Stegostoma tigrinum: one gene and its partners. The protein of the gene in region 4 interacts with the protein of the main gene of each other region in a biochemical or structural test. Links are inferred from orthologs where the notes say so. Each region holds a gene or a part of one and is shown on either strand. Other genes may lie near its edges.

Region 1 (7,579 bases), on a different chromosome or scaffold from region 4:
TGAAATGGGAAATGGCGGCTTTTATGCTGTATAGGGAGCAAGAGCAAGTTGAACAGGTTGTGAAGGTGCTCAAAGCAGAAGACAAAGGCAATGTAAATAGTGGTAAATGAGAGACTGAGATGAAAAATGTGTACAACTGAAGGCTTGAAAATGTGAAAGTGGGTCTACTGTGCTGAGTGCAAAGCCAACAAGACACGTCCAGGAATGATGGTTTTTGGGGCATGTAAGAAAAATGGAGGATAGAGGTCATATTCTGAAGATATGGAAATTTGCCCGAGCAGAAAAAGCTTACACTGGGGCAGTCCCAGGATGGAAAAAATGAACAGGGACTCAAGGTGGTTTATTGAATTGCCAAAAAAACTAGAAGGTCGGGGCCATTCTAGAGACAGAGCTGATTTATTTTGCAAGACTGGTCCTGTCTCAGCCAGTCTGTGTTTGCCCTGGCAAATATAAAGGAGACAGCATGCCAGCAGTGAATACAGTAGACGAAATTGAAAGAAGTACAAGTAAAATGCTGTTTCACCTGGAACATGGGTTTGGCACCTTGGACAATAAGGAAAGAGGATGGAAATGGGTAAATGGTACACCTTCTGTGTTTGCATGAGAAGATGCCACAGCAGGGTCTTAAGTGCAGGCTGGAGGGGGCAGCTGTTGTTTTGGAAGGGTGAGCATAGAGGAGTGGACCAGGGTGTCACATAGGGGATGGCATTGGGGGATGCTGATAGTAAAGAGAAGGGGGAGATAAGTTTGGTGCTGGTCTCTGGCTGGTAGAAATGGTGGAGAAGATCCTTTGAATGCAGAGACTGGTGGAGTGGAAAGTGAGGACAGTAATATCCAACACCATTTTCCCACCAATAACTTGCTAACTGATGCTCCATTTGGTTTAATCAGGACATTTTGGGGCCATACCTCATTATAGTTTTGATCCAAGATAGAAAATAAATTTGAATTCCAGGGCTTTGGGACTACTGTCCTCAATATCAGAGGAACACTTGAGAATGTGTGGCATTGAGGAATGCTCACAAAATTGAAGTAAATAGGAATCGTGGGCAAACTCACCATTCATATTTTGCCTTGTACAAAGGAAGATCGCTGTGGTTGTTGCAAACTAAACTTCTCAACCCCGGGATATCTCAGCAGGAATTCCTCTGGGCAGCGTCCTCAGCTCCACAATCTTCAGCTGCTCCATCATCGACCTTGTCATAATCATAAGCTTAGAACTGTGTGATGTTTGGTGACAAGCTCTCAGATACTGAAGTAGTCTTTGTCCATATGCAATAAGACTAGGAAAACATCTTAGCCTGGCAAGTGGCAAATAACTTTGATGCCACTCAAGTACTAGGCCGTAAAACCTTCCAAATATATCTATCTCTAACACACTGCCTGACCACTTTCCCTCTTTATTCAATGACATCACTATTATTGAATCCTCATTATTAGTGGTAGTGTATTACCATTGACCAGAAGCACAACATAGCACAAGTCAGAGGTCAGGAATTCTGGGTCAAGCAACTTACCCTCCCACCTCCAAAGCCTTTCGAATATTTTCACAGGGCCTTAATTTGATTGTTATGGAATACTCACCACATGCCTGGATGGATAAAATTCCAAAAACATTCAAGAGGCAGATGGGCCTATTTTAGTTCAGAACCATGGTCGGCATGAACTGATTAGACTGAAAGGTCTGTTTCCATGCTGTATGACTCTATGACATCTTGGAGAAAGCAACCTGTTTGGGTTGCTTCAACTCCCCTAAATATATACTCCATCCATGATTGACATAGCATGTTCCAAATACAAATTGCATTTCAACAACTCACCAAATGGCACTTCCCATGCCGTCAACTTCTACAACCTGTAATGACAAGGACAAGCGACACATGTAATTATCACCTGCAAATTCCCTTCAAGTTGTACACTTTGGCAGCAGCTATACTGAACACAGTGCAGAGATTCCCCCACCTTAGACTGACTTCAATTTTGCTATGGCTACTTAATGCAGCACTGAAACCAAATGTTCCCTTAATATAAAAGTAATCAGCCTCACTTCATCTCTGGAACTCAGCTCTTTTGTTCATGTCTGGTCCAAGGCTGTAATGAGATCTGGAACCAAGTGAACTGGTGGGAGCCAAACTGAGTTTCCATTAACAGGTTATTGGAAACGACAGTCATGGCTTTTCTTCCCACTCCTGCACAATTCCTTCTGGTGTTTTCCAAGCATCTATCCTTGCTGTCTACTTTTTTTATCCCCATGCTGCCCGTCAGCAACATCATCAGAAAACACTGCATCAGTTTTCACATGTGTGCTGAAGGCACACAATCCAACCTCATTAACACCTTTCTCAATTTTGCTAATGGTTCAGAGTAAACCAACAGTTCAGGATTTGGTTGTGTTAGATTTACTGCTTTTCTGTGGACAAAACATTCTGGGCAACTTTCCATAATGCCAAATAGATGCCAGTGTTCTAGATGTTCAGCACTGGAATGGCATGACTAAGGACAAAGCTATTTCTACCACAGATAACAAGGTGTGGAGCTGGATGAACACAGCAGGCCAAGCAGCATCTTAGAAGCAGGCAAGCTGACGTTTCGGGCCTAGACCCTTCATCAGAACCCGAAACGTCAGCTTTCCTGCTCCTCAGATGCTGCTTGACCTGTTGTGTTCCTCCAGCTCCACACCTTGTTATCTCGGATTCTCTAGCATCGGCAGTTCCTATTGTCTCTATTTCTACCACATAAGTCTTTGGTACTACTGCTGAAATTTTGTCACTGCAATTTTACCTTTCCTGTATTCAATGCCCTTTTTTTAATGAAAGCACAAAATAGGAACATCAGGAAAAGTTCAAGATGGATCTTCCACTTACTCTTGTGGCTGAAGATGGTTGTGAACAATTCAACATTGCTTTTTCACACTCACATAGCTTTAAATTGAGGGGTGAAAGATATAGGACAGATGTCAGAGGTAGTTTCTTTACTCAGAGAGTAGTAAGGGAATGGAACGCTCTACCTGCAACGGTAGTAGATTTGCCAACTTTAGGTACATTTAAGTCATCAAAGGATGAGCATATGGACGTACATGGAATAGTGTAGGTTAGATGGGCTTGAGATCAGTATGACAGGTCGGCACAACATCGAGGGCCGAAGGGCCTGTACTGTGCTGTAATGTTCTATGTTCTACATGCTTGACTGTCTCATACTGATGATGGGGATATTGTAGAGTTTTTTTTGTCATTTGATTGGTCAATGCCATTCATGACTATAATAAAACGGAAATGCTGCTTATGTTGTAAATGGAAATTAAAGAAAACGAGTTGTTGGGAAAAATGAACAAGGCTGGCAACATCTGTGAAGAAGAAAACAAAATTAACATTTTGAACCATTGATTCTTCTTTGGAAATAATCAGGTATGTTCATACCTGTATGTGACAGAACTACAGGGCTTTGAACTGGTTCCTTATAAATAGGGTGCTTGACACTATTTCTTGAATGTTGCCTCCTCTGTTTCACATTCATGTAGTTCTGTATTGCAGCTTGGATGAGTTGACATCTCCCTTTCAGATATGATTGGTGCTGCATCAGGCAAAATCTTTTCATTGACTAAATTTGGTCCCCCAATTTGATGGTAATGGTGAAGTGTGATATGCCAGGCCATGAAGATACAATTATGGTTGGATGCAATTTTGCTGTTGACAATGGTTCACAGTGCCATGTTGTGTGCTGTAGATCTGCTCTGCATCTATTCCATTCAGCATGGTGGTGGAGATACACAACTGAGTGGAGATATATCCTCAATGTGAAGATGGGACATTGTCACTACAATGACTGTGTGGTGGTCACTCTGACCAATAGCATCATAGACAGAACTTCCCATGACATAAATAACAAGTACATCTTTGATGTATAACAAAAATGTTTGTCTTGTGTTACTCAGGGTTCTGCTGATTTTCTATAAAGTGGGATGGACAGGTGAAGGTGTGGACAGGTATTTGTTTTCCTCTTGTTGGCTCCCTAACCACCTAGTCTAAATCCAATCTGGTTTATATCTACTTAAGGACTGAGTCAGTTTGGCTAATGTTGTTGTTAGAATTCTTGCACCCAAAGTACGTTTGTGGCCCTACTACCTTCAGCATGTCTTTCATCTGACATTCAACGTTGTGGGGAGAGGGGATTGCATGGGTGCTGACTGTAATCAACAGGAAGTCTTCTTGTCTGTATCTCATGGAGATCGAAATGTATTTCGACAACTCGCAGGCCCACACTTTCTTGACCCCATACCATGGTGCCATCACTCCTGCTGGCGCCTAGAGCACTGGATGGTACGGTTCCGTGAGTTTCGCTATAATAGTTAGTTGCTCGGCTAGTCTGTGGGACAGCTCTTCAATGTTTCGACCTATATGCCCGCATACATGTCTGTCTGACTGCAACGAAATCTATCTCTGCATAATACAGACACCAAGCATTGTGCACCGCTGGAAGAAACGACTGTATAGAAATAGATTGTCTCTATTTTTAGCTGTCAGTGCGGATTTAATTCATCCTCATCGCTGGCGAAACGTGGCTGTGTCTTTAAGAGAAGCTGACGTCAGGTTGGGTCCGGATATCCTGGTTTTGCCGATAGTAATTTAATCCTGGAGTGAGATGAGAAGGAGCCGCGAAGGAGGCGAGAATAACCCTGTTTGCAAATAAGCGGCCGAACAGGACCGCTTCCTTTTTCTGCAGGAACCATGTCTGTGGCGGGACTGAAGAAACAATTCCACAAGGCTACTCAGGTAGGGAGATAGCTGCTGCAGCTCCGACACTCTCTGCCCCACTGCACCAAAGCGGTTTGAGCTTCAGTCCAAGCTTCGTCCCTGTCGTGCCTCTGTATTCTTAACCACCTTCCCGTTTTACAAGAAGTAATGATAGAATCCCCGTCTCGCTTCATGTCCCAAACCCTCCGGGGCTACACAACGCCGATTAATGAAGCAATGTCATTGTGTAGGTCGGGTCAGGCAGGATTCCTGTGGCGAAATCTGGGAACTTTGATGTTTCAGTGAGTGTGGGGCTCGCTGTGGGTTGATTTGCCAATGAGGTCTCGACAGAGGCGTTTCATTTTAGGGGAGAAGGGGTGGTGGTGGGAGAGAAGGGTTTTGAGCCTCCGTTTTCCCCGGGATGTTTGCGGGATCGCTGCGGAAATCATTTATTATTTAGTCCCCGGAGTGAGCCGCGTCGCAGCTTCTTTCTGGGTCTGTTGGAAGAGTGGCTTTCCAATGCCCTCAGTCGGCTCCAGGTCGCTATTGCGGAAATCCAGTCCTTGCTGCTGTCCCCCACCCCCCACGAGCAGTCTCCTGATCTTGGAATCAAGGAGGAGAAATGTCCTCTGAACAAGACCAATTTGCTGCTGCTGGTTAGATCGGCTCGCACCTCATTATAATGTTGATTTTTATATGATCTCAACACGTAAAACACCGCGGAAATAATTAATTTGATCCTGCCGCTGTCAATTGTGTATTGAGCATCCCAGCCATCAACAATTCTGTTTTGAGTTTCACCGCGCCTGCAATATTCTCTCTCTCTCTGTGTGTCTTTATTTTGAAATAACAGCCTCTTTCATCAAACGTCACGATCTTCGCCTCAGCTACTTTGGGAGAAATGTTCATTCCTCTGTCAGCTGGGCTGACCATTTTAAAGATTTTTCCCCTGTTCCCGGCTCTCCTGCATACTTACAGCTAATCCTCAGCTTGGAAGTTGAGGCGCCTGTTTACTGTCACTGACTCTGACTCTCTGGGTTTGAGACTTGGGGGACACTGGCACCGAAGCACATGGCAGATGCCTGCTGGCGGGTAGTTTGAAGAAAGGTGGGGGGGGGGGAGTGGGGAGCGAATCGGGGGAGATTGAGGAAAGATGCTGCAAGCATTTCAGTAGGTCACGAGTATATTAAGGATGGGACCGGTCCTGGGCACAACTGAATTACACATCCTGAAAGATGCATCGCTGCTGCTTCTCGATTTGAATTATTTCTTCCCATTGTCCTGCTATTCTCACCACCCCCCCCCCCCCCCCGCCCCCGCTCCTTCCCTCCCTCTTCGCAGCCATCAAAATTTCCATTTACTCTGTCGGACTTCAGCTTGCAATTTAACGTTAATATTTGCAATTATCCTGACAATCTTGGCACCACTTCTAAAGCATTTCCGTTCCAGGCTGGAATTCAAGTTCTGGTCCAGCATTTTGACTTCACTCCGGGCCTGATTCCAGGCACTGAACGTACGGCTTTTCTGTGCACTGGATGTAAATGGGTGACCAGAATTGGAATGCTGTGTTCGATATGCAGCATAACTAGAGCACTCTGCAGCTGCATTGAGACTCTGGGACGACTTACTGTCATATACAGCTAGTTTTGTAGAGTGCCCTGTTTCTGTTGAACGTGTCGTTGAGATGAGGGCGTTTTTTTAAACTCCAGAGATAACAATGTGGAGCTGGAGAAACACAGCATGTCAGGCAGCATCCGAGGAGCAGGAAAGTTGACATTTTGGGTTGGGACTTTTCTTCAGAAACGGATAGGGGGAAGGGAGCTCCGAAATAAATATAGAGAGGAGGGGTGGGGCTGGGGAAGGTAGGTGGAATGGGTGATAGGTGAGTGCAGGTAGGCAGTGGTGGGGCTTGGTCAGTGAGGTGGGCGGGGCAAGTAGGTGGGAGTGAAGATGGACAAGTTGTCAAGTCAAGGAGTTTGTATTAGGTCTGAAGAAGGGTCACCGGATCCCAAACATTAACTTTTTTTTTCCTTCACAGATGCTCCCAGACCTGCTGAGCTTTTCCAGCAACTTTGATTTTGTGTCAGGTCAAGGGGGCTGGGATGAGAGGGAGGGTTGGTCATGGGATGAGGCTGGGAGTGGGGAGATTTTGAAACTGGTAAAGCCCACATTTAGACCATTGGCCTGTAGGCTCCCAATCCGTTTCACACTATCTGTTGCCCCAGCACCATTCAGGGTGATCAGTCCTTGTTTGCACAATTTTCAATTGCCTGTATTAAATCTCATCTCCCATCTGGTCCAAATTTTCTCTGATTTCTGACTTGTCTTTTACAATTCCACCTCTCCTCCTAGCATGTGCTCATATGTGACATTGACTGCTATTTCCATGTTTCCAAAACCAGTGTCATTAATGTCAACGAGAAACAATACTGAATCCCCAGAGTCCCCACTGAGCACTCACTTCTATTCATATTCCATTTTGATTACTACCCTTGTGCTTTCTCCCCGAGTCTCTGCGGGTTTCCTCTGGGTGCTGTGGTTTCCTCCCACCATCCAAAGATGGACAGGTTAGGTGGCTTGGCCATGCTAAATTGCCCATAGTGCCCAGGGATGTGTAGGTTTACGGGCATAGGGTAGGGTGTGGGTCTTTGAAGGGTCACTGTGGACTGAATGGCTGCTTCCACACTGTAGGGATTCTAAGTTAGAATTCCCTCATGGTTCAGTGTCTCATACGTACCAGGTAATGTTTAGCAGAGCCAGCTGCAAACCTCTTCTTACTATGGGAGCTTTCAAAGTGTGCTGCCTACTGTTTCTATGATTGAATGGCTCAAGTGATAATGCTACTTTCC
Region 2 (7,845 bases), on a different chromosome or scaffold from region 4:
AGTAGTTAACAGGAAACAGTGTAGACATACATGGATCATTTTTAGGTGGCAAGTTGTGACCATTGGGAGTACAAAAGGATCAGTGCTATTTACAATCTAAGTGAATGACTTGGACAGGGGGACAAATGCACAGCTTCTGAATTTGCTGATGACACCAAGATAGGGGAGAGTGTTAGTTGTCAAGAGAAAGTTTAGAGTGTGAAAAGGAAATAGACAGGTTAAGTGAGTGGGCAAAAACCTGGCAGATGGAGCATAAAGTGGGAAAATGTGAATTTGCCAACTTTGTCATGAAAAAGAGAGAAGTGGTATGCAATTAAATTGGTAATTTGCAGAACTGCGCAGTACAGAGGCATCTGGGTGTCCTGGTACACAAGTCACAAAATGCCAGTATTCAAATACAGCAAATTTTGAAGAAGGCAAACGAAATGTTGTTCTTTATTGCAAGGGAATATAGAAGTAGGGAAGCTATACCGCAAGCTGTATGGGGCCTTGGTCAGATCTAAAGCATTCTGTACAGTTTAAACTCCTCATTTGAGAAAATTATTGCTAGATCATTAGATCCGAAGCAATTCAGAAAAGGTTCAACTGACTAATTCCTGGGATGAAAGTTTAACTTATGGAGAAAAGTCAAACACATTGGCCCTACCCCTGAAACTTGAAAAGATGAGTGGTGATCTATTTGAAGCTATAAAGGTCCTGAGGGGTCTTGATAAGGTGGATAAAGGAGGATGTTTCTAATTGCCGAACAGACTCCCTTCAGGAGACACAGCTTAAAAACAGGAAGCCTGCGTTTTAAGATGGATAGGAAGAAAAAAGTTTTTTATCAGACAATCGATAGTTTGTAATGTGCCCTTCCTTAGAAAACAGTGGACGTTGGGTCATCAAACTTAATCAAGACTGATTAATTTTTGATAGTCAAGGTTGTCACTCAGATCACCCATGATTTTTTTGAATGGTGGATCAGATTCAAGTAGCATTACAACTGTGGCCACATTTGAAACATGTATCACTGGCCGCAATGTCCTGGTGTGAACGTGAAAGTTGTGAACAGAATGATTAAAATCATTTGATTTTACTTGAGCAGTGAGAAGCAAACATTTTCCTCCCAGTTCCTTCTCATTCACCCAAATGATTTGAATCCTAGTAGGCACTGATGCTCAGTCCATCCTATACAGCTCATAAATTAAATGAAATCCAAGCTCTGTCATTAGATACAGAACCAACTCAAGATGTCAGAAATCTCAAAACATTTTGTTTGACAGACAAGCAAAATCTATTAATTAAAAATACTTTGAGACTGTGGGACTTAGTGGTCATGTAGTGTTACCTGGCAGAACATAGATCCAAACACTATGGATTAGTTTAAACAGGAATGGGAGGACCATCAGCATCTTAATTCAATTATGACTAATCTGGATCTCATTCCATCTACCCACCTTTAACCCATTTTTCTCAATATTCTTACCCAACAAAAATCAAATTGACAGAAAGAAAAAGAAAGGTTATATTTTAAATTAATGATCTTTCATCACAGCATATGCTGCCAGACCACTGTGTACTTGAATTGGTTTCTGTTTCTATTTCAGATGTTCGGCACCTGCAGCATTTTACTCCTGAAAATATAATCTACGTCAGTCTTGAAATTTACAACTGACCTCCAAGCATGACATCTTTTTGGAGAAAAAGTTCCAGCTTTTGTGTGAAATGCTTCCAGACATCATGCCTGAACAATTTAGCTCTAATCTTAGGGTTACGCCCCCTTGTTCTGAACTTCCCCAGAGGAAACAGTTTATCTCATTCTGCTCATATTGAGGCATGCTGAGGGTGTGAAAGGCTTATATAATTTAGATTAGTATATTTGCAGTTCTTTGATCACCTTAAGTATATCTATATTACCTCACTCTCATAATTATAATCATAAAACACTACAAACTTAATCTTTCATATTCAATGGAACACAAGCCAAAGTTGTAAACTCCAGGACCAGAAGATACAATACTTTAGACATCTCCCTCTCCATCCTCTACCCTGTACGTAAGGGACAGTGTTCACGAAGAGCAGCTAGAGAACCAAGAGATAATCAGTACAATGTTATAAGCCCCAGGAGAGAAGAGAGCCCTAAGAAAGTAGTGTCCCTTTTGGTGTTTGGGAGCTTTATAGAGTCTGTGGGTGAAGGGTAATAGGGGATTCACTTTGTTGCCAGATGTTTGTGCGTGCGTTTTGGGGTGGGAGTTTGCTGATATGGCATACAGTTCCTGATCTTCAGGTGGCTCAAGTGCAGTTCTCAGGGTGACGGATATGGACAGGATTAGGAGTACAGAACCTCAAGTTTAGCAATAGTGAGCTATGTCTGGACATGTGGGGTACAGGCACCTCGTATCGGCTGTACTTGGGTTAAGGGGATGGTGTTAAGGAGTGTGGGAGGGCAGTCAGATCTCCTTCAGCATGTTAACACCACAGAGCCTCTGGCACCCCATCTATGAGAATGTGGGATCTAGACATCCTGAATGGGGTAAGGAGAGTTGGGGAGCAAGACAGCCCAGAGCTGGAAAAGGACAGCGAATGATGCTGGAAGATCCCACTCTTGAGTGGGAATGGGGAGTGGAGTGGGAGAGGCCAGATCCCCACAGATGAGGGAGTAAAATAGATCCCCAGATCCCCTGGGGCGGTGCGGACAGAAAGGGACAAGACCTGTTGGGATCTGGGTGGCATTGGGGTAGAGGTATACACCGATGACACAGGTAGACGTCGGGATTGTTTTTGGGCGGGGGAGGGAGGTCAGCACCGCCAGGTTTACTCACCCTGTCGATAGATCCAGGCACCAGGCGCTCCAGGAGGCGACACAAGACCACCCCGTCCCTCAGGGAGCTCTGTAGGAAAGCCTCGGGGTCCGACACTGTTTTCTTGGGGGAATCCAGGACCCCGAGTGTAATCAGCCAAGTGACCGTCTGCTCAGCGGAGCTCATCGCTACCGATCCCCATTCACCGGGAGTGCAGGGATCCGAGCCTTGGGCCCCGGGACAACAGTCCCCTTTTCCTTCCCGGGCCCCGGGACAATCCCCGCCGCCGCCTTTTCCCAGTCCCCGCGGTTCACTGCTTCCCGAGGTCCCAGCTCCGAAGCGGCGAGCCCGGCATCACTCGGTACTGATAGAGCCGGTGTGTCTCGGAAGGGACGGCTATCGCCTGGGATCTCTCTGATCCCGTAACCTCCCTCCTTGCCCCCGGGGCGGCTCTCTTTGTTTCTCCGGGACGATCGCGGCTCCGAACCTGCCGCCCACTGCCGCCGCTCAGACTGAGCCCGAAGCCGGGTCCTGCCGCCCTCTAGTGCCGCCCGAGACCCAGCAATAGAGGAGGGCCCGGAGACCCCGACACCCGACAATTACACCCCCCCCAACTCGACAAATACCCCCCCAACCCGTCAATTACCCCCCCCCACTCGACAAATACCCCCAACCCGACAATTACCCTCCACCCCGACACCCAACAATTACCCCAACCCTCGACAATTTCTCTCCAACCCAACACCAAACAATTACCCCCACCCCGCCACCCGACAATTACTTCCTACCCCAATAACTTGCCTCCCCAAATCGACAACTACCGTCCCCACCCTGACAGTTACCCCCAACCCAATCCAACATCCATCCCCGACCAGATAACTAGTCCCTTCCTCACCCCAACAATTAACCCACCCAGACATCTACCCCTGGAAACTTACCCCGGGGTAGTTAACGGTAGTTAACATCAACTACCTCACTCGAAATAACTTCCAGTATCTCACTCCATACCCCCAAAACCCCGGCATCTCACACCCCCTCCACATCTCCCACACTCGCAACATCTAACTCCCCCACCCACATCTCATCTCACACTGTCCCCTCTGTATGGACGTTCAACCCAACCATCCCCCCCCCCCCCGCATACTTCCTTTACCTTCTCAGACCCTCCGTACCACCCATTGTCTACATATTTCCCTTTACCATCGAGGCTGTCAATGCTGGGCTGTTCACTATATGCAAAGCTGAGATAAACAGATTTTTAGTTAGTCAATATAACAAGGATTATGGGGAAAGCCAGGAAAGTGATATTCAAGACTGTCAGATTAGCCATTCAACATCCTGAGTTACTGTTGACCTGAAGCTTAACTGTACAAACCATACAAATGTCAACATGAACAGGCTATAGGCTAAGAATTCCCTGGAGACCAGACTCAATGGGCTCGACCACATAATCCAATGCTTTGTGGACGCCTCTCCACTCTCTCTTTCCTACCCACTAAGACATTTTCCTTGTTAGTCATCTCCCCAAAATAGAAATCCTCATCATCTCTGTCCTCACCGCTCTCAAACTCCTCCTGGTCATCCTCACCCTTAACCCTCCAAACCCCGAAACAATTCTCCCGTCCAAAACCCCAGTCCTCTTTCTCTTCTCTCCCCCAACCCCCCAGAAATGTTTATGAGTTAGACCAGAGACCAGTGCTAGTTCTTTTCCTGATCTAATTAGGAAACATTGTGTGGTGGTGAGTTTAAAGTTAACAATGTAAAGGGTAGAAAGAAAAACTCAATAAACCTGATACTTTTAGCTTGGCACCAAACCTCTAGATTGTTGTAAATACTCAACTGGCTGAATGCCATGGAGTTCCTCCTTGGCCAGTTATGAACAAGGAATGAATGCAAACTTGCCACAAAGGAATAAAGTTCTAGATGACTATGTAGAGTGAGAATCAGGAACTGTGTGAGATGACTTTCGCCTTCCCAATGTCTGGTTGGAGTAGGCTAGAGAACAATTGTATTGCACATGTTATCGTTAAAGGAATTTTATTTTCTAAAAAAAATCTCATGGGATGTGAACATTTCTTGCTAGGACAACATTTCTTGCACCAACTCGAGAAGTTGATGCTGAGCTACCTTCTTGAGCTGCTGAAGCCCATGGTGGTGGGTACACCTACTGTGTTGTCAGCCATTGAGTTCCAGGACTTTGACTCAATGGCACTGAAGAAACAGTGATTTAGTTCCAAGTCAAGTTGGTGTGTGCCTTGGAGTGAATTTCCAGGCAATCTTGCTCTCATGCATCCACTACCGTTATTCCATGTTTTGCAGGTTTAGAAGCTGATGTGAAAGGAGACTTAGTGCATCTTGTAGATGGTACATACTGCTGGTATGGTGCATTTGTGGTGAAAGGAATGATGGGATGCCAAGCAGGCAGCTGCCTTGTCAAACTTCTTGATTGTTTTTGGAGTTGCACTTATCCAGTCAAGTGGAGAGCAGTCCATTAGACTTGTCCCATGTAAGCAGGCTCTTGGAAGTCAGGAGGTGAGTTACTCACCAGGGAATTCTTAGTCTATGACCTCCTCATGTTGGCACTATTTGTATGGCTTGTACAGTTAAGCTTCAGGTCAGTAGTAACTCTGAGGGTGTTGATTTTGCAGGACTCAGCAATGGTAATACCATTGAACATCGAGGATTAATGGTCAGATACTTTCTTGTTAGAGACAGCCATAGTTTGGGACTTGTGTAGTGTAAATGTTTATCAACCCAAGCCTGAAGTGTTGGACATGTCTTTCCACATACTTACGTGGGCTGCTTCAACAAATTGTGAATGTTGCTGAACATTGTGCAATCATCGGCAAACATCCCCACCTCTGACCTTTTGATGGAGGGAAGCAGCTGATGCCTTTTGATTTAATTTTAATGGGGCTTTTTTAAAATTTTCAAGTGTCCCTTTCACAGTGTCATGTACACCTTCATTAGGTGATGCAGTGAGTAGTAACAACAATAATAATTGGTAACAGTATCTTCTATCTTCATGTTGATATGCTGAGGATTTAGATTCGCACACAGGCAGAACTCAAATTTTCATGATTATCCCCGATTAAATTTATCCCCCATTAAATTTAAAATTTTAAGACTCTTAAGGAAAATATTACTTTCTTGGACATCTTGGTATTTAAATTGGCCCTAGACATAAATTGGCAACAAGTATTTTTAAAATATAAAACTGACCCACTTCTATCCAGAAAAAAAAGCCATCAAACGAAACATGCTTTCTGCAGATGGTGGCATGGTGGCTCAGTGGTTGGCAATGCTGCCTCACAGCACTAGGATTATGGGTTCAATGCCAGCCTTGGGTGACTATGTTGAATTTGCATGGGTTTCCTCCCTGGATATGCAGATTATGTGGATTGGTCATGGTAAATACAGCGATGGGCTGGGGCTGGGTGGGATGCTCTTTATGAGGTTGATGTGGACTTGATGTGCCAAATGACCTCCTCCTGCACTCTCGGATTCTATGGTGAGGTCACAAGAAAACCATTATATGTTTGTCTCCAACATGGCCTCAAGTATTTCCCAGTAAGTGAAACACTTTGAGGTATGATAACACATAAATGTCAGTCTTTATGAAATTAAACAGTACAGTATTAAACAATTGACACAATATTTATTTCACTTTCCCCCCCACCCCACCCAATGCAGCAGCCTTAAAGTTTCCACAATATTGCAGGAAATTTATGATTTGATAAATGTCAAGTAACATTTCCATCATACAAGCCCCAGGCTATAGCTTTCTCTAACAAGACAGAATCTGACCATTCATCCTTAACGTTCAATGGTATTACCAACATTGAATCTTCCAAAATCAACAATCCTGAGGATTACCATTGTTCAGAAAATAGTGTTTACATGAGCAGGTCAGACATAAGGAATTCCCCAAACAGTAAATTGTTTTATTCTCATGTTCCCATTTAGGACAGTATATCTTTCTTGAAATGTTTAAAAGTGTTTCTTCCCTTTGCAGCATTTCTCTCCCATTTTGTACTTTTTCCAACCTTTGGAGGGTCTTTCCCCCATCACACATACACACACACACCCACCTCTCTCAAAACTTTACAGCCTCATTTCCTCCAGGCTTTTGGCTTGGCTGCACAGGTCCTGGTATCACACCCACTACTGAGAGGCCTCTCTCACAGTCTTGCTGGCTTTGCTCACTGACATCACTCCCCGCCTGGCCAGCATAGTTTCTATTCTGTCCACTAGCTCTGCCACTGACCTCATTCCTCCAAATGCAGGCTGATACCCTCCCACATTTGCTGTTGATGGACTCACTGTGAACTTAGCAGCAGTAAGCTTGGGAGAGAGCAGCCTGTGATTGAAGGAACAGTTCCCAACTATTTCCTTCCATTCTGTTTACAGGTGTGTCCTTTCTCAGATTGGCCAACCCCATGTGTGGCTTTCCTAAGCATTTTGGGATTTCTGGGTCAGATCAACACCCCAATATAGTTTGATTGCTGCCTCCAATGCTGACAACCACCTTCCATTATGCATGTACCTCTGCAATCTGTGTTGTCCTGATTCCTATTAAAGACCTACAAATTAACAGCAAGAGTAGGCCATTCATCGACATTCAATAAGATCATGGCGAATCTGTTTCTGTTCTGAATTCCAAATTCCCATCCATCCCCAATGACCTAAGACTCAGCTGCCTAACAATAGTCTTTGCCTTAAAAATATTTAATAATTCTACCTCCATTGTTTTCTGAGACAGAAAGATCAAAGCTGCTCAAAACCTATCACTATCCTAAAAGGATGACCTCATATTTTATGTGTCCTATCATCCCAATCTGAAAAAGACTCATTTTGCACACACTTTGTTTCCTGCTAGTTTAACTCCAGTTTTGTTATCACTCCTTGACACCATACTCAGTTAAATGATACCTTGATGTCAAGGCCAATGACTCTCAATGCACCTCTTGAGTTCAGTTCTTTTGCCTATTTTTGGACCAAGGCTGTAATGAGGTCAAGAGCTCAGAGTTCTGGCAAAATTCAAACTGAACATCAATGAGCAGGT
Region 3 (8,026 bases), on a different chromosome or scaffold from region 4:
TTGAAATAAATAGGGAGAGAGGGGGAGGCGGACCGAAAATGGGTAAAGGAGAAGATAGATGGAGAGGAGAGTATAGTTGGGGAGGACGGACAGGTCAAGGAGGCGGGATGAGGTTAGTAGGTAGGAAATGGAGGTGCGGCCTGAGGGGGGAGTAGGGGATAGGTGAGAGGAAGAACAGGTTAGGGAGGCGGGGACAAGCTGGGCTGGTTTTGGGATGCGGTAGGGGGAGGGGAGATTTTGAAGCTTATGAAATCCACATTGATACCATTGGGTTCCAGGGTTCCCAAGCGGAACATGAGTTGCTGTTCCTGCAACCTTCGGGTGGCATCATTTATGGCACTGCAGGAGGCCCAGGATGGACATGTCGTCAAAGGAGTGGGAGTGGGAGTGGGATGATTGCCAAGAATGGTTCTAGCCCTCTCATTCACAGTGGCTGGGTTTGAATGAGTTAAAGCCTACCCCAGAGATCGATTCTTAATAGAGACGAGCAAGATTAAAAATGACAATTTTTGGACCACAGGGGAGAGGTGGTTTGTGAAGAGATGGCTTGAAACAATTTATGCACGTTTACCCCACACCCGAGCACCAAACCATCATCTCCAACACCATTCATGACCTCATCACCTCAGGGGACCTCCCACCCACAGCCTCCAACCTCATTGTTCCCCAACCCTGCACAGCCCGTTTCTATCTCCTTCCCAAAATCCACAAACCTGCCTGCCCTGGTCGACCCATCGTCTCAGCCTGCTCCTGCCCCACCGAACTCATCTCCACCTGTCCGGACTCCATTTTCTCCCCTTTGGTCCAGGAACTCCCTACCTACGTCCGTGACACCACCCACGCCTTCCACCTCCTTCAGGACTTCCAATTCCGTGACCCCCAACACCTCATTTTCACCATGGACGTCCAGTCCCTATACACCTGTATTCCGCATGCAGATGGCGTCAAGGCCCTCCGCTTCTTCCTGTCCCACAGGCCCGACCAGTCCCCCTCCACCGTCACCCTCATCCACCTAGCCGAACTCGTCCTCACCCTCAACATCTTCTCTTTCAATTCCTCCCACTTCCTATAGACTAAGGGGGTGGCCATGGGCACCCATATGGGCCCCAGCTATGCCTGCCTCTTTGTAGGTTACATGGAACAATCCCTCTTCCGCACCCACACAGGCCCCAAACCCCACCTCTTCCTCCGTTACATTGATAACTGTATCGGCGCCGCCTCTTGCTCCCCAGAGGAGCTCGAACAGTTCATCCACTTCACCAATACCTTCCACCCCAACCTTCAGTTCACCTGGGCCATCTCCAGCACATCCCTCACCTTCCTGGATCTCTCAGTCTCCATCTCAGGCAACCAGCTTGTAATTGATGTCCATTTCAAGCCCACCGACTCCCACAGCTGCCTAGAATACACCTCCTCCCACCCACCCTCCTGCAAAAATTCCATCCCCTATTCCCAATTCCTCCGCCTCCGCCACATCTGCTCCCACGATGAGGCATTCCACTCGCGCACATCCCAGATTTCCAAGTTCTTCAAGGACCGCAACTTTCCCCCCACAGTGGTCGAGAACGCCCTTGACCCCATCTCCCGCAACACATCCCTCACACCCCGCCCCCGCCACAACCGCCCAAAGAGGATCCCCTCGTTCTCACACACCACCCCACCAACCTCCAGATACAATGCATCATCCTCCGACACTTCCGCCATCTACAATCCGACCCCACCACCCAAGACATTTTTCCATCCCCTCCCTTGTCTGCTTTCCGGAGAGACCACTCTCTCCGTGACTCCCTTGTTCGCTCCACACTGCCCTCCAACCCCACCACACCCGGCACCTTCCCCTGCAACCGCAGGAAATGCTACACTTGCCCCCACACCTCCTCCCTCACCCCATCCCAGGCCCCAAGATGACATTCCACATTAAGCAGAGGTTCACCTGCACATCTGCCAATGTGGTATACTGCATCCACTGTACCCGCTGTGGTTTCCTCCACATTGGGGAAACCAAGCGGAGGCTTGGGGACCGCTTTGCAGAACACCTCCGCTCGGTTCACAATAAACAACTGCACCTCCCAGTCGCAAGCCATTTCCACTCCCCCTCCCATTCTTCAGATGACATGTCCATCATGGGCCTCTTGCAGTGCCACATTGATGCCACCCGAAGGTTGCAGGAACAGCAACTCATATTCCGCTTGGGAACCCTGAAGCCCAATGGTATCAATGTGGACTTCACCAGCTTCAAAATCTCCCCTTCCCCCACCGCATCCCAAAACCAGCCCAGCTCTTCCCCTCCACCCACTACATCCCAAAACCAGTCCAGCCTGTCTCTGCCTCCCTAACCGGTTCTTCCTCTCACCCATCCCTTCCTCCCACCCCAAGCCACACCTCCACTTCCTACTAACCTCATCCCACCTCCTTGACCTGTCCGTCTTCCCTGGACTGACCTATCCCCTCCCTATCTCCCCAACTATACTCTCCTCTCCACCTATCTTCTTTACTCTCCATCTTCGGTCCGCCTCCCCCTCTCTCCCTATTTATTCCAGTTCCCTCTCCCCATCCCCCTCTCTGATGAAGGATCTAGGCCCGAAACGTCAGCTTTTGTGCTCCTGAGATGGTGCTTGGCCTGCTGTGTTCATCCAGCTTCACATTTTATTATCCACGTTTATTTTCAGTTGCTTTTCAGCATGGTTCATAAAGACGTCAAGAACAAAGACATCAGCAAAGAAGGAAGCTCTCTGTGAACGGGTGCTATGCAATCTTGCAGGGCTGCTTCTCCTTAAAACAATGCATTCGGCCGCAGTGAGGGTTGGCCGAACATTTTCATCGACATGCACTGTCCTCATGTTTTCAAAGGTCACTCGCAGTTTGCATTCAGCGTCCCACCCCACGCACTGGAAAAGGCCCCGACCTCGGGTTTGCACAGACTTAAAGCAGGTTTCCTGCCGCCTTTAGCACCAGAGCCTACCTGCGCTGTACGCCCTGACTGCATTGGACCTGGAGGCACGGAGAGAAAACGCAGCCGCCCTACACAGAAAAGACATTGTTGCCATTCTCTGCGTGGGATCCACCTATGCCTCTGTCCCAGATCTGTGAATATCGCGATAGCCTAAGCGCCACCCTTCCCCGGGAGCTGTCAATCACCCGATCTGGGCTGCGCACCACCAATTGATTGCAGATTAATCCATTCATTTTTGTCGCCGCTGTAACTCCTCAGTCAACGTCGTTTACACGCACAGTCATCTTAAATTTTAACAACAAAAAGACAATGCATCCATGCATAAAACCATGATGAATGGTACATTTGGTCCTTGATTAGGAAATCTCACCGAAATGCAATCACTTGCCAACTCTGCTGTAACTGATTTGTACAAGGAGTGTGGTAGTTGCACTGTCTCTAGCCGGAAGACCTGTGTTCTAACTCTCTAAAGAGATGTGACAAAACCTCAGAACGAGGTTGTTCAGAAAATATCTGCGTTTAATTGATAGCTCCCCGCATGTTTCCACTTTTGGGCTTGTTATTTCAAAAGACAATAGACAATAGGTGCTGGAGTAGGCCATACGGCACTTCGAGCCAGCACCACCATTCATTATGATCATGGCTGATCATCCACAATTAGTATCCTGTTCCTGCCTTATCCCCATAACTCTTGATTCCACTATCTTTGACAGCTCTATCTATCTCTTTCTTGAAAGTATCCAGAGACTTGGCCTCCACTGCCTTCCGGGCAGAGCATTCCATATATCCACCACTCTCTGGGTAAAGAAGTTTTTCCTCAACTCTGTTCTAAATGGCTTACCCCTTATTTTTAAACTGTGTTCTCTGGTCCTGGACTCCCTCATCAGTGGAAACATGCTTCCTACCTCCAGAGTGTTCAATCCCTTAATAATCTTACACGCCTCAATCAGATCCCCTCTCATCCTTCTAAACTCATTTCACTAGAGTGAGGCTATTTCCTTCACATTTGATATTTTAATCTGAGCCGTGTTGTTCGCCTTCCCCGTCAGGATATTTTCCTAACCGTGTGAAAAAGATGCTGCTTCAGTCTTTCTCCTGTGGTATCGTACTGATATTTCTGAGTTGAAAGCAAGGTTGGGAACTGATATGCATTTGAATTGACCAGGAACAATCTAATGCGAACACTGATCTTAGACTCACAACAGCAAAGAAGAGGCCATTCAGTCCATCATGTCCATACCAACATTCTATCAAACAATCAGCCGGTCTCATTACACTCTCAGCCCACTCTTCATCCACTGCAGGGATAGTAGGAACTGTGGATGCTGGAGAATCTGAGATAACAAGGTGTAGAGCTGGATGAACACAGCAGGTCAAGCAGCATCAGAGGAGCAGGAACCGGCTGTGTTCATCCAGCTCTACACCTTGTTATCTCTTCATCCACTGCAGGTTATTTCCACTCCAACCCTCACCACCCTGCCCCCGGCCAAGACCTCATCGAATTTTTCTTTTGATATTGTTGATTTTAAATGTATCCAAGTACCATGAACGCACAGCTGGTGTTTCTCTTTCCCAATATTAGAGTCATTTTCAGATCAACAGCTCAAACAGCATAATGATGCCCATTATGTACACAGGGACAGGGTGAGGGGAAGGGGTTTCTGCAGTCTGTGCTTTTGGATTAGATGTTGCTTTTAAACACAAATGGAATTAGGGGACAGCATCTCCTTTGAGACTGTTTGCCTGAGAGCCCTGTCAGCGAGTTAGAGGGGTTTATGCTTTGGGATGTAATGGCTTTCTTTTGACTGTGCCAGCTCCTTGTTTTCACCCTTTATTAAGAATGCCTGTTTGCCTCCCCTTTTTCGACAAGATCTGGTGTTGTGCATCTTAACTGAATTGGAAGAATCTCCTTCCAGAATACAAGGGTGAATAACAAAAATACATTTAAAATAACTCAGTAACTCATCAGACTGATTCCCAGGATGGCAGGGCTAAGAAATTAAGAAAGATTGGATCAACTAGGCTTGTACTACTCACGGGAATTTCGAAGAATGGGGGGATGATTTCACAGAAACATAAAATCCTGATGGGGCTGGACATGCTAGATGCGGATGTTCCTGATGATGGGGAAACCCACAGCTAAGGGTCACTGTCTAATAAGGGGTGTGCCATTCAGGACTGAGATGAGGAAGAATTTCTTTACTCAGAGACCTGTGAACCTGTGGAATTCTCTCCCACAGCAAGTTGTTGGGGTCAGTTCATTAGATATATTCAAGAGTGAGCTGGGCATGGCCCTTGCAGTTGAAGAGATCAAGGGGTGTGGAGAGAAAGCAGGAATGGGATACTGAGATTGCAAGATCAGCCATGATTATATTAAATGTTTGTGCAAGCTTGAAGGGCCAAAGGGCCTAGTCCTGCTCCTATTTTCTATGCATCTATGAACTGGAAGTGTCACTGCACTGAAAATGTTAAGTGTGCTTGCTTTTCATAGATGCTGCCAGACCTGCTAATGTCTCCAAAAATTTCTGGTTTTATTTCAGATTGACAGCATCTGCAGTTCTTTGTTTTGCTTCTAGGATATTAACAGAAATGCGGAAGAACTAATCACTTCCTTGTGTCAGGTCTCTTCAAAATACGCCAAAAACAGTGCCACTCTGCTTTTGAGATAGCAAAAACTGCTGATGCTGGAGTCAGAGATAATACAGTATGGAGCAGGCCAGGCAGCATCAGAGGAGCAGGAAAGCTGACGTTTCAGCTGAAGAAGGGTCCTGACCCTAAACATCAGCTCTCCTGCTCATCTGATGCTGCCTGGTCTGCTTTATCAACATGTACATAATTCTGCCTGGCTACATAACCAATATGACTTATTTTACATTTCAAATGGTAACCTTCCTAGCTTACAGTACCTTGTATAAGTTCAAGAGATGCTTGACTATCTGCTGGGAAAAATTAAGGCCAAATCCCAACTGGAATTGTCTGAACCTCACAGAGATGTCAAAAATTGCAGGAGCTTTATTTAAAAGCAAAAACAACTTCGTAAAACTATTGGAGTTGCCATGACGTGATAGCCACCGATTTTTCTTTACAGTGGCCCCTCCAAATTTGAGTCCAAGCCCAGAAAAATCTATGCTTTATGACCCTTTAGGACCTAAAAGACCCTTTATCATTCTATAACACCTTGCTTCACCATTACATAGAAGGTCTAATGAGCATAAATAAGCATGAACATTCTTCCAGAAAGGCAAATGTAGCCATCAGACATTGCATGAGGGTAAATAGTCTAAGGTTGCATTATCTTTCTCTTTCGTTTTGGATGTTGGTTGACAGGAAAACCAAATGTAGTAACCTCCCCGAAAGCCCTTTCACAACATACAGCTGCAATCCTTACACTCTGTCTCCTGTACAATATATCATGCTGCTGTGTGACTGACTACAGCAAATGTCTCATTGTTGGCCTGGCCAGGTCTGGTCCTCATAGGCTGAGGGCAAGATGCTTCATGCTTCACCTGGAGCAGTAACTGTCTTCAGATTGTTCCAATCATCAGAATTGAATCAAGGGTGAGAGTCCTACAGAATGCCTGAAACCATTCAAAGACTTTGTCAGACCTTAGACCTTAGAAACTAGAGAAGTTGGTGATGTAATAATAACAGCCACCAGCCTAGTAATCCAGATAATCTGGCTAATGTTCTGGGGAAAAGGATTCAAACCCGGTGAACAAAAATCCAGAATTGAAGTAGTGATCTTTGCTGCTTGCTGTAAAAACTCTCTGGTTCACTCATGTTCCTTAGGGAAGGAAATGCTGACCTGGTCAGGCTCCAGACCCACAGCAATGTGGTTGCCTCAGCATTACCTTCTGAAATAATTGTACGAGCTCATCCTACAAGGGCACTTAGGGATGGGCGACAAAGCCCTTGCCAGCCATCCCCATATCCCATGGAAGCCTTGTTTAAAAAAAACAATGTCTACACAGGAAACTGATATTTAATAAAGAGGCCCTGGGTTTGGAAATAGAACAAGATGAATCCAAATATACAGAAGAGTAAACACCGGGCTAAAATAACCCAAACAATGTAAAATAAAATAGATCTGCACATGTATTTCAGACAATTCTTCCAGTAATGGCGAATAAAATGTGAAGAGATTTCATTATCAAGGCGGAGATGCGTTTCTTTCTCGTAACTGTAACCCGGGGGATATGTAGCACGTCGTCGTTACAAAGCCCCTCCTACTTGGGATTTGCTTTCTTTGTCTCTGTCTTTCATTCCTGTTTTGGTGGTACCCAGTCAGTTCATTGCATTCATAGTCTGCTCTAAATTCTTGCCGGCAAATCCGGTGACATTGCAGGGACCGGTTTCACTTCAGGACTGTCCCTGGTTTGAATCATAATCCGATTAGGATTTGGCGGTGTGCCGAGGAGGAAGGAGGTACACAGAGAGAGGCGAGCGAATTAAGTGTTCGTCCCGCGCCATTGACTGCAATCCAGCTCGGCGGTCACACTGACTCTAGACCTTGCCAGAGGTGAGTACACTACCGAGCTTTTCATTTAGGAGTGGGTAAATAGGGTTTGTCAAACAAAGACAGGGGATAATGGCAGTTCTGAAAACAAAAAAAACGATTTACAAAAGGAAAAAAGAATATGCCACGCTCGATTTATTCAAAAACAATGAACTCTAGTAAAACAAATCCTCAAGCAATTACACAATGAATAGTGTATGTTAGATTCGGATCCAAACTGCGATCATCAATGGTGCATGAAAAGATGAATTTGGATTCAGCATTCCTTGCTGGACTAAATAACAGGTTGGTAATTTAAATTTGAACCCACTCCTTGGAAAAGCAGGATCAACCGTGTGGACAATGAGACATGTTAGCATTGCATGGAACAGAAATGGGAGAAAGTTCGGTGTCTTACAGAGGGTTTATGTGTTCACACACCATTATAAAGAGCCACTGTAAGGGGCTTGTTGGATTTCAGTCCGATTGGAAGGGTGTGTTTGGCTGCCTCCCATTGGAAATGCAAGATGTAGCTTCTCAGCGATGGTTGCAGCTCGCTCGTCTTCCACTATAACAAG
Region 4 (7,305 bases):
CACTCCACTCTAGTAAAAGACTAATAGCCTTTTTATTTCTAAAATTCAAAAAGAGTTGAGAAAGCTTATTTAATATATGGTAAATGTGGAAAGATATTTAAGGTTTTTTGCTTAATAGCAGCTACCTTTCAGGTGTGTAAAGGTTTCTCCTTCTCAACTTTTCTGAGGCGTGGTGACCCTCAGGTTAAACCATCACCAGTCATCTCTCTCTCATCACGAGCAATCATATGGACTGATAAAGACAATGGAGACTTTACCTTTACCTTTTTACCTTTCAGATGGCATATTACATTCAGATCCTGCTTGGCAAAATCTGGTAGTTGCCAGGACGTACAACTTTCTTACCAGGCATCATCAGGGTGCCAAAGTGTATATATTACATGATTCACCAGAGTCTTTGGCTTGATTACAGCATCGTGGTCAAAACACCATTCATAGTTCAAGTGCATAAGCAGGAGAGTGAAATGGTGCTCAAGTATTTGAGAATCATTATCCTTTTCAGGTACTTTGAGTTAGACTGTCATGTTTCAGGTCGCAAAGTGATAGCACTAGACCTACACTTAAGTTTGTGCATTACACAGCGAGCAATGACAGAATAGCTATTATTCCACAGGTTGGTTTGATGCATCCTACTTTGACCTCAAGCTTGAACAAATGGTTTAGGGTCCATATACAAGATTCCTGAATGGACCAATTTTACTGTGTACAGCAATGTTGAACTCCCAGCAGAAATTCCAGCACCTCCCATGGAATGTTTGCAACAGAGCGCCACCTATATTCAACTAGCCTGCGCTTGCAGAAATCAGAAGATAATGTTTAATGCTGGATGTAGTCCAGTGATTGCTCAGTAAATGCTGTCCAATCTTGAGTGCACTAAGAATTATGCAAGCAACCAATTTAAAGATCATGAGTCAGTCTTAAAATGTGGCTCAGGTATGCTTGATAAAAGATACGTATTCATTTGCAGGAAAACAGATGTCCAAGCATTTCCTTTTTTAAAAATTCAAAAGTGTCAGGGAACAAGATTTTCTGGATACCTTGACCAATTAGAGTTGATTTACCAGTCAAAAGCAACTCTTCATGTGCATTATAAATTGTCATTCATTTTGAAATGGAGTGTTCTTGTCTTGCTGTCTTCGGGAGTGTCTCAAAAATCTTTTGCAGCTTTTACTTTGTTTTCCGCAATATTCAAGTCCTAAACTAGGAAGGAACAATCTGAACTTCATATCTTCTGGTATTTGCACACAGGCATGATTGTAACTTTAGCAGATTTATATAAAAACCCAAGATAACAAGGTGTAGAGCTGGATGTACACAGCAGGCCAAGCAGCATCTTAGGAGCAGGAAAGCTGACGTTTCGGGGGTCTAGGCCTGAAATGTCAGCTTTCCTGCTCCTAGGATGCTGCTTGGCCTGCTGTGTTCATCCAGCTCTACACCATGTTATCTTGGATTCTCCAGCATCTGCAGTTCCCATTATCTCTTATATAAAACCCAGCTGGGTCACAAAGTCCTTTTAGAAAAGGAAACAATATGCGGTTTGGACCATATGTGGTTCCAGTCCCACAATAAGTCCTTGACTAAATCTCCACCAGTGCTTTCACATGCAAGGGTAGAAGTCGAGGATAAAGTTAGAGATAGCCTCAAATTATTGAGTTCTCAACTAACCTTCTTTCTTAAAAATAATAAACAGTGATAGTTTTTTGAATTTTTATTGCGTTCCTGTCAACTGAACCGCATCAAGCAGCCAGCGGACCAACCCAACTGGGAAAAGTTTTATAGCGGCTAAACTAATTTAACATTGCTATCTGTGTTGTCACATATGCAGAGTTCTCACAAAGGCCTGCAAAAGGCCAATGTTGTGCTGTTCAAGTGTTGTTCGATATAGGGTATTTGCAATATAGCTGACAAGTCTATTTAAGTATTCTCAGATCCTGTCTCAGTAGAGGAGTAACAGTGACTTATGTACTTAAAATGTAGTTGAGTCCAGAATATTTTAGTAAGGGGAAAGTTCCAATGAGAGGCACATGATGTTCAGAGAAAGTATTTGGCAATTAACTTTTTAAACAAGTTGAGGAGTGAGGAAGGGGCGTGCGTCACTCTTGTCCCAGCGGCATGCACAAGTGACCAGCTGATTCAGGTCGCTTAAGTTCTGGAAATCAATACATGCCAACCGTTTTCATAAAACTTTTCCTTCAGTTGGACTGCAAAAACAAATAGTATGGATTCCTTTAACACTCCTATATTGAACTTGGCTGGTGACAAGTCAGGACGAAAATAAAACTATCAATCTGCACGACTCGTTGCAGTCATAGAACCAGACGTAAATAAACAGCCTACCTGTTGGATACTGGCAATTTCGGTGAACGATTCGAGAGCCACCAATAACGGCATGTGGACATTTTTATTTCCGAATAAAATCGAAGCTGTTTAAGATGTAAACAATCAGCACTTTATGTCAAAATGTGTCCATCCCGTCTTCCGATAACGGATTTTTGAAACATATAATTTCTTAGACGATTACTTACCATTTTGAACAGTAGTGAGGAGAATCAAGTCGTCTAAAATCTGAAGCAAAGTGCTGATTTCTTTTCCTTGCTCGACATTTTGGAGACGAACGATTAACTTTTTCAGGTTTCCCTCCAGTGGTTCCGAGTCCGCCATGGTTAATCGACTGTTCTAATTTTGACCGCTTTTCATGTTTGATCGTAGAAAAATAAATATCTGGTTGGCTTGTGAGAACGACCAGTCTTTAACCCGTCGGTTACTTCGTCAGCAGTGGTCACAGTATGACTGCAATACTGGCCGTTCAAAGTGAAAAATCAGAAATGAGTTACGGAAGTTTCAGTCCGCGGGGAGTTTCCAAAAGTAACTTTGCTTCATCACCCGGGTGCTGCTGTCAGTAACGTTGAGTGTGCCCTTCTATGACTTCTTTTTCAGCGAAAGTTCAGCCTCACTTGTTTCTAAAGATTAAGTCGGTATTAGTGTTTTTGAGAAGTCCAAAGCCGACCTCTAGGCCAGACCGACAAAAACTGCAGGGAAGACACTCCCTTGGCCGCAGCCCCAAAGCACATTTGGCAATTTGCCATCCAGCCCGCTATCATGAGTCGACCCTCAACTAGTTATACAAAGTTATTTTTGTTAATGCCTGACAAAGGAAGGAACCGTCATGCTGAAAACTCAGTGGTCATTCTGTCAGGCTCCCGCTGCCACTACACTTATTCAAACAAAACATTTTTGATAAAGCTTCTGAAATGTACAAATCTTGGTTTGAGCATATAATCCAGATTGAGGCTAAAATTCCAGACGTGTAATCTTGCCATAATGAAACGTTGATATATGGAACCTCTCAGTTACATCCAAAAGATCCCCGGGAATTATTTCAAAATAAGGGGGCGTTCTGCCCTATTGCATGGTCAGCGTTCATTCTTCTATTAACATTGCTCCTGATAGATTACCAATACATGTCATATATCCTCATGACTACTTTTGTAAAAAGTGTTTTATTGACCAGAAAGCACATTATGAAAACCTAAGGTCATGAAAGGCATTATACAAATATGATTTCCTACTTTCTTTAATAATTCATTTATTCTCCAAGAAGAGAAAAAAAGTTATAAATTCGTTGATAAAATAACTATATTGAGAAAGGAATATAAAACTCAACCAATCAGAGCTAGGTGTCAGATACACATGCTAAAATCGTATAGGAATTCTACAAGCCTCCTACAGAAATATCAAAATCCTCAAATATGAAAAAAATGCAAAACAGTCGTCCCAATCTATTCAATCCCTCCATCAGGTCCACCAGCCCAGCCTGAATTAGCACATAATGTATACATGAATCTTTGCTAAAACTTCAAATACAATGCATAGTAACCCACCATCTGATTGTAAGCAATGTGAAGAAGTGAAAATAGAATCTTGAAAGCTGGTGGAAGTTTCAACATGGAAGAGCATGTGTATTTGGGAGTGGATGGATTGCTAGAAACACTGAAAGTGACAACGCAATAAGAAGCCATCACCAACCTCTGGCTTTCATATTTAACCATGCTTGATTCTGTCTAAGCAATTATTATAGTAGTTCATTTCCTTTTGCCAGATTTGGTAAAAGAAAAGTCCCTTCCTGGTTAACCATTCCTATGATTTGCTGCAATTCCACAGTATTTCAAAGTGGTGGGACAGCATTGATGGCTGTAACCTTCTGTGGGTCAGACTTAATGCCTGTTGCATGAAGAATATGAATCAAAATGTATTTAAATATCACTGTCACTCTTCCATCATGTTCCGATGAAGTGGATCGGTGAATTAGAATGTCATCCCTATGACAGTTAACCCTTTTTAATACTTCTATGGTGTCAATAATTTTCTGGATCAATCTCTGGAATTGATATAGTGCTAAGGGTAGATGATTAAAACAGTGTCTCACAAACTGCGTGATAAACTTATGCATAGGAGCAGGCTGCATGCCCTTTTGAGCCTGTTCTATAATTTATTAATGATGTCATAACTGATCTGTTTATAACCTCACATTCATATTACTGCCAAAGCCTGATAAACTTTCACCTCATTTCCTACAAGAATTAAGCCACCTCTGTCTTAAAAATTCATTGCCTTTTGGGGTAAAATGTCCAAATACTCACAACCCTGTTGAGAAATTTTTTTTACCTCATCTCTATTTTAAAGGGGCAAGCCTTTATTTTTAAATAGTGACTCCCTTGGCCTAGATTCTCCTGTTTAAGGCAGCATCTTCTCCACATCTACTCTATCAAGACCCCCCAGAATCTTACATGTTTCAATTAAGTTGCTTCTTACTGGTCTAAGCTCCAGTTGATGCAAGCTTAACTTGTCCAACCTTTACTCATAAGACAACCTGTCTGCCTGTTCCAAGTATTAGGTAAACCTTTTTTGATCTGCTTCCAACGCATTCTACCGCGTTCCATAAATAAAGTAACCAATTCTATATACAGGACTCCAGATATGGTTCCACCAATGTCATGTGTAAGTGAATGGAATAAATTATAACATTCCATTAAATTTCTTAATTACTTGCTGTACCTGCATACTAACCTTCTGTAGGTCATGCAGTAGGACACACAGATCCCTCTGCATATCAGAGCTCTGCAATCTCTCACTATTTGAATAACATGGGCTGATTTTGTTTTTGGCTGTGTCAGGGCTGTGCAAGATTTTGGAAGGTTATTCGCTGCAAAATGTAAGAAGTACCCTCATTGTGTCTGAACAAACTCACCTTTTTAATTACCTATTGTGTTCTATGGCATCCCTTAGGTCCAATTTCAACCCCATCCTACCACACACTTCTCTTGGACCAACTCATCATGAATGAAAATGTATTTAAATATTGCTTTCACTCTTCCATCACATTCAGTTGCAGTGAATCAGTGAATTAGAATGTCATCCATATGGCGGAAGAACCAGCATTCCTTGTGAGCATGCTATTTTTGAAAGGCTGCAATGCAGCTAGTCAAGATTTGGCAAGTACTCCTCACTGGCACGTATATAATGGCATAGCAGGCACAAAGTCATGCTGGCCAAGGCACATAGCCAGCATGTCTGATACACCCTCACACATACAACCCCATTCTCTCAACCTAGGTGCTGTTTAACCATCATGCCATATAATTCATCTGTCCCAAGATACATCTTGTCTGAACAACCTCTCTAAATCAGTGCTATCCTGTCTCTAATGCCCATTGTAGGCCTGCAACTCATCATTGTCCAGTAGGGGAATATCACATTGGGGCAAGGAATCACGTGATAATGAGGCATCTTGTCTGTAATTTCCTGCTTTCTGACTCCCTCCCGTTATGAAATAAACAATTACATGAGTTATCTTCTAATCTAATAGGACCTTCCCTAAATCTAGAGAGTTTTAGAGAATTGAAACCAATGCATCAATTATCTCACCAACCACTTTTTTAGAACCATACGATGAAATCTATTAGGATCCAGGAACTTGTCAGCTTGCAGCTCCAAAACTTAATTGTAATCATAATTTTACTGAATTCCTCCCTCTCTTGCATTTCTTGACTTATAAATCTTCCAGAATATTACTTGCATCCTCTACAGTGAACATTCATTATAAAATACCTGTTCAATTCATCTACCATCTCTTTATTTTTCATTATCAATTCCCCAAACTCACTTTCTATAGAAAAAAATTGTTATTTTTTTAAAGCAAGACATAATACTTAACAAGTTTATTCACAAATGAATAATAAACAAAGGAGAGCTGTAAATCATGTCCATGATTTCTGGGTAACATGGTGTGTAATAGTTTTCTGTAAATTGTAGATAGTTTCTAACCAACATGTTAGAGGTATTATTGTTCACCTCTGGAACAAGTGTTATTGCTTCCTTTACTTGTATAATGTTGTGTAATAGTAACCAAATAAATCAATACTAAAGTGGAAATGCTTGTGATCAATCTGAAGTGCCAATCATGTATAAACAAAAACCTTCAATAAGAGCATGAAACGTCACTAGGGGGCGTTATTAAAATTGAGAACCAGGAAAGGAAGCAATGACTGTACTATTTCTGTGGCTTAAATATCTTAACATTAAGTAACTCCAAATTTTGTCCAGTCCTTTAATGTTTCGTGTGAGTTCATGTATACCACGAATTAAACATTGTTAGGAGTGCAGACTAAGTTATGGTAGAGCAACTTATGTGTCTGCACTGCAGTATTTGGGACTTCATGGAAAGAAGGACTGCCCCGCGTGAATATATCTGCGGGAGATATTTCTGAATTGGAGAAAGATAATAGGATTTGCCCAGAGTCAAAGTCATTGAGTGCATTTGAAACAATGCTGATGTTGAAAATAGGAAACCTGTGCTTAGGGATCAACCGGTGAGAGATAATTTGAAATGTAGGTCAGCACCAATGGATTAGAACTAACAGTGCATACAAACATGTGGAAGAAAAAATGCTTTTAGATTGGTCAGAGTTAAGATTTACGGCATTAATAAAGTGGTCATGTAGAGTATTTGTGAACAAGAGTTTAAAAACTAAAACTAGGTGTTCAGTGAGAGTGGAATTTCATGATGAGTGAATCTTTCTCAAGCTGAAGTTCCAGGCCAAGAGGTGGCAGGCCCCAAAGCCACACGTGAAATTAATTATGGAAGTTGGTGGAACCCTTTTCGAATTTGCACAAATTAAGTTCTGGGTGGGAAAACCCAAATTTGACCTTCCCATCCCAGCACTATTATAACCAAGGCTGAAGGAGGACACTGTCATTCTGGTCCCACTACACAGTCTCAACATAAAAGAAATTCTCAGTTACTGA

Evidence for each region.
Region 1: of the proteins of lrrk2 (region 4) and endophilin-A1, one has a biochemical effect on the other in vitro, tested with the Homo sapiens proteins (2 studies listed by BioGRID and IntAct). The link is inferred for Stegostoma tigrinum from reciprocal best matches to the Homo sapiens genes LRRK2 and SH3GL2.
Region 2: of the proteins of lrrk2 (region 4) and rho guanine nucleotide exchange factor 7-like, one has a biochemical effect on the other in vitro, tested with the Homo sapiens proteins (2 studies listed by BioGRID and IntAct). The link is inferred for Stegostoma tigrinum from reciprocal best matches to the Homo sapiens genes LRRK2 and ARHGEF7.
Region 3: the proteins of lrrk2 (region 4) and echs1 interact on a protein array, tested with the Homo sapiens proteins (2 studies listed by BioGRID and IntAct, with this or other methods). The link is inferred for Stegostoma tigrinum from reciprocal best matches to the Homo sapiens genes LRRK2 and ECHS1.

The regions. Positions count from the first base shown.
Region 1 is NC_081356.1:23,525,681-23,533,259, reverse strand, and holds the start of endophilin-A1, read left to right. Parts: upstream 1-4,426; 5' UTR 4,427-4,724; coding exon 4,725-4,769; intron 4,770-7,579. UniProt on the Homo sapiens protein: Implicated in synaptic vesicle endocytosis. May recruit other proteins to membranes with high curvature. Required for BDNF-dependent dendrite outgrowth.
Region 2 is NC_081359.1:13,986,064-13,993,908, forward strand, and holds the start of rho guanine nucleotide exchange factor 7-like, read right to left. Parts: upstream 3,363-7,845; 5' UTR 2,967-3,362; coding exon 2,802-2,966; intron 1-2,801. UniProt on the Homo sapiens protein: Acts as a RAC1 guanine nucleotide exchange factor (GEF) and can induce membrane ruffling. Functions in cell migration, attachment and cell spreading. Promotes targeting of RAC1 to focal adhesions. May function as a positive regulator of apoptosis.
Region 3 is NC_081390.1:11,735,059-11,743,084, reverse strand, and holds the start of echs1 (enoyl-CoA hydratase, mitochondrial), read right to left. Parts: upstream 3,105-8,026; 5' UTR 3,048-3,104; coding exon 2,963-3,047; intron 1-2,962. UniProt on the Homo sapiens protein: Converts unsaturated trans-2-enoyl-CoA species ((2E)-enoyl-CoA) to the corresponding (3S)-3hydroxyacyl-CoA species through addition of a water molecule to the double bond.
Region 4 is NC_081378.1:38,590,786-38,598,090, forward strand, and holds the start of lrrk2 (leucine-rich repeat serine/threonine-protein kinase 2), read right to left. Parts: upstream 3,042-7,305; 5' UTR 2,662-3,041; coding exon 2,526-2,661; intron 2,424-2,525; coding exon 2,338-2,423; intron 1-2,337. UniProt on the Homo sapiens protein: Serine/threonine-protein kinase which phosphorylates a broad range of proteins involved in multiple processes such as neuronal plasticity, innate immunity, autophagy, and vesicle trafficking.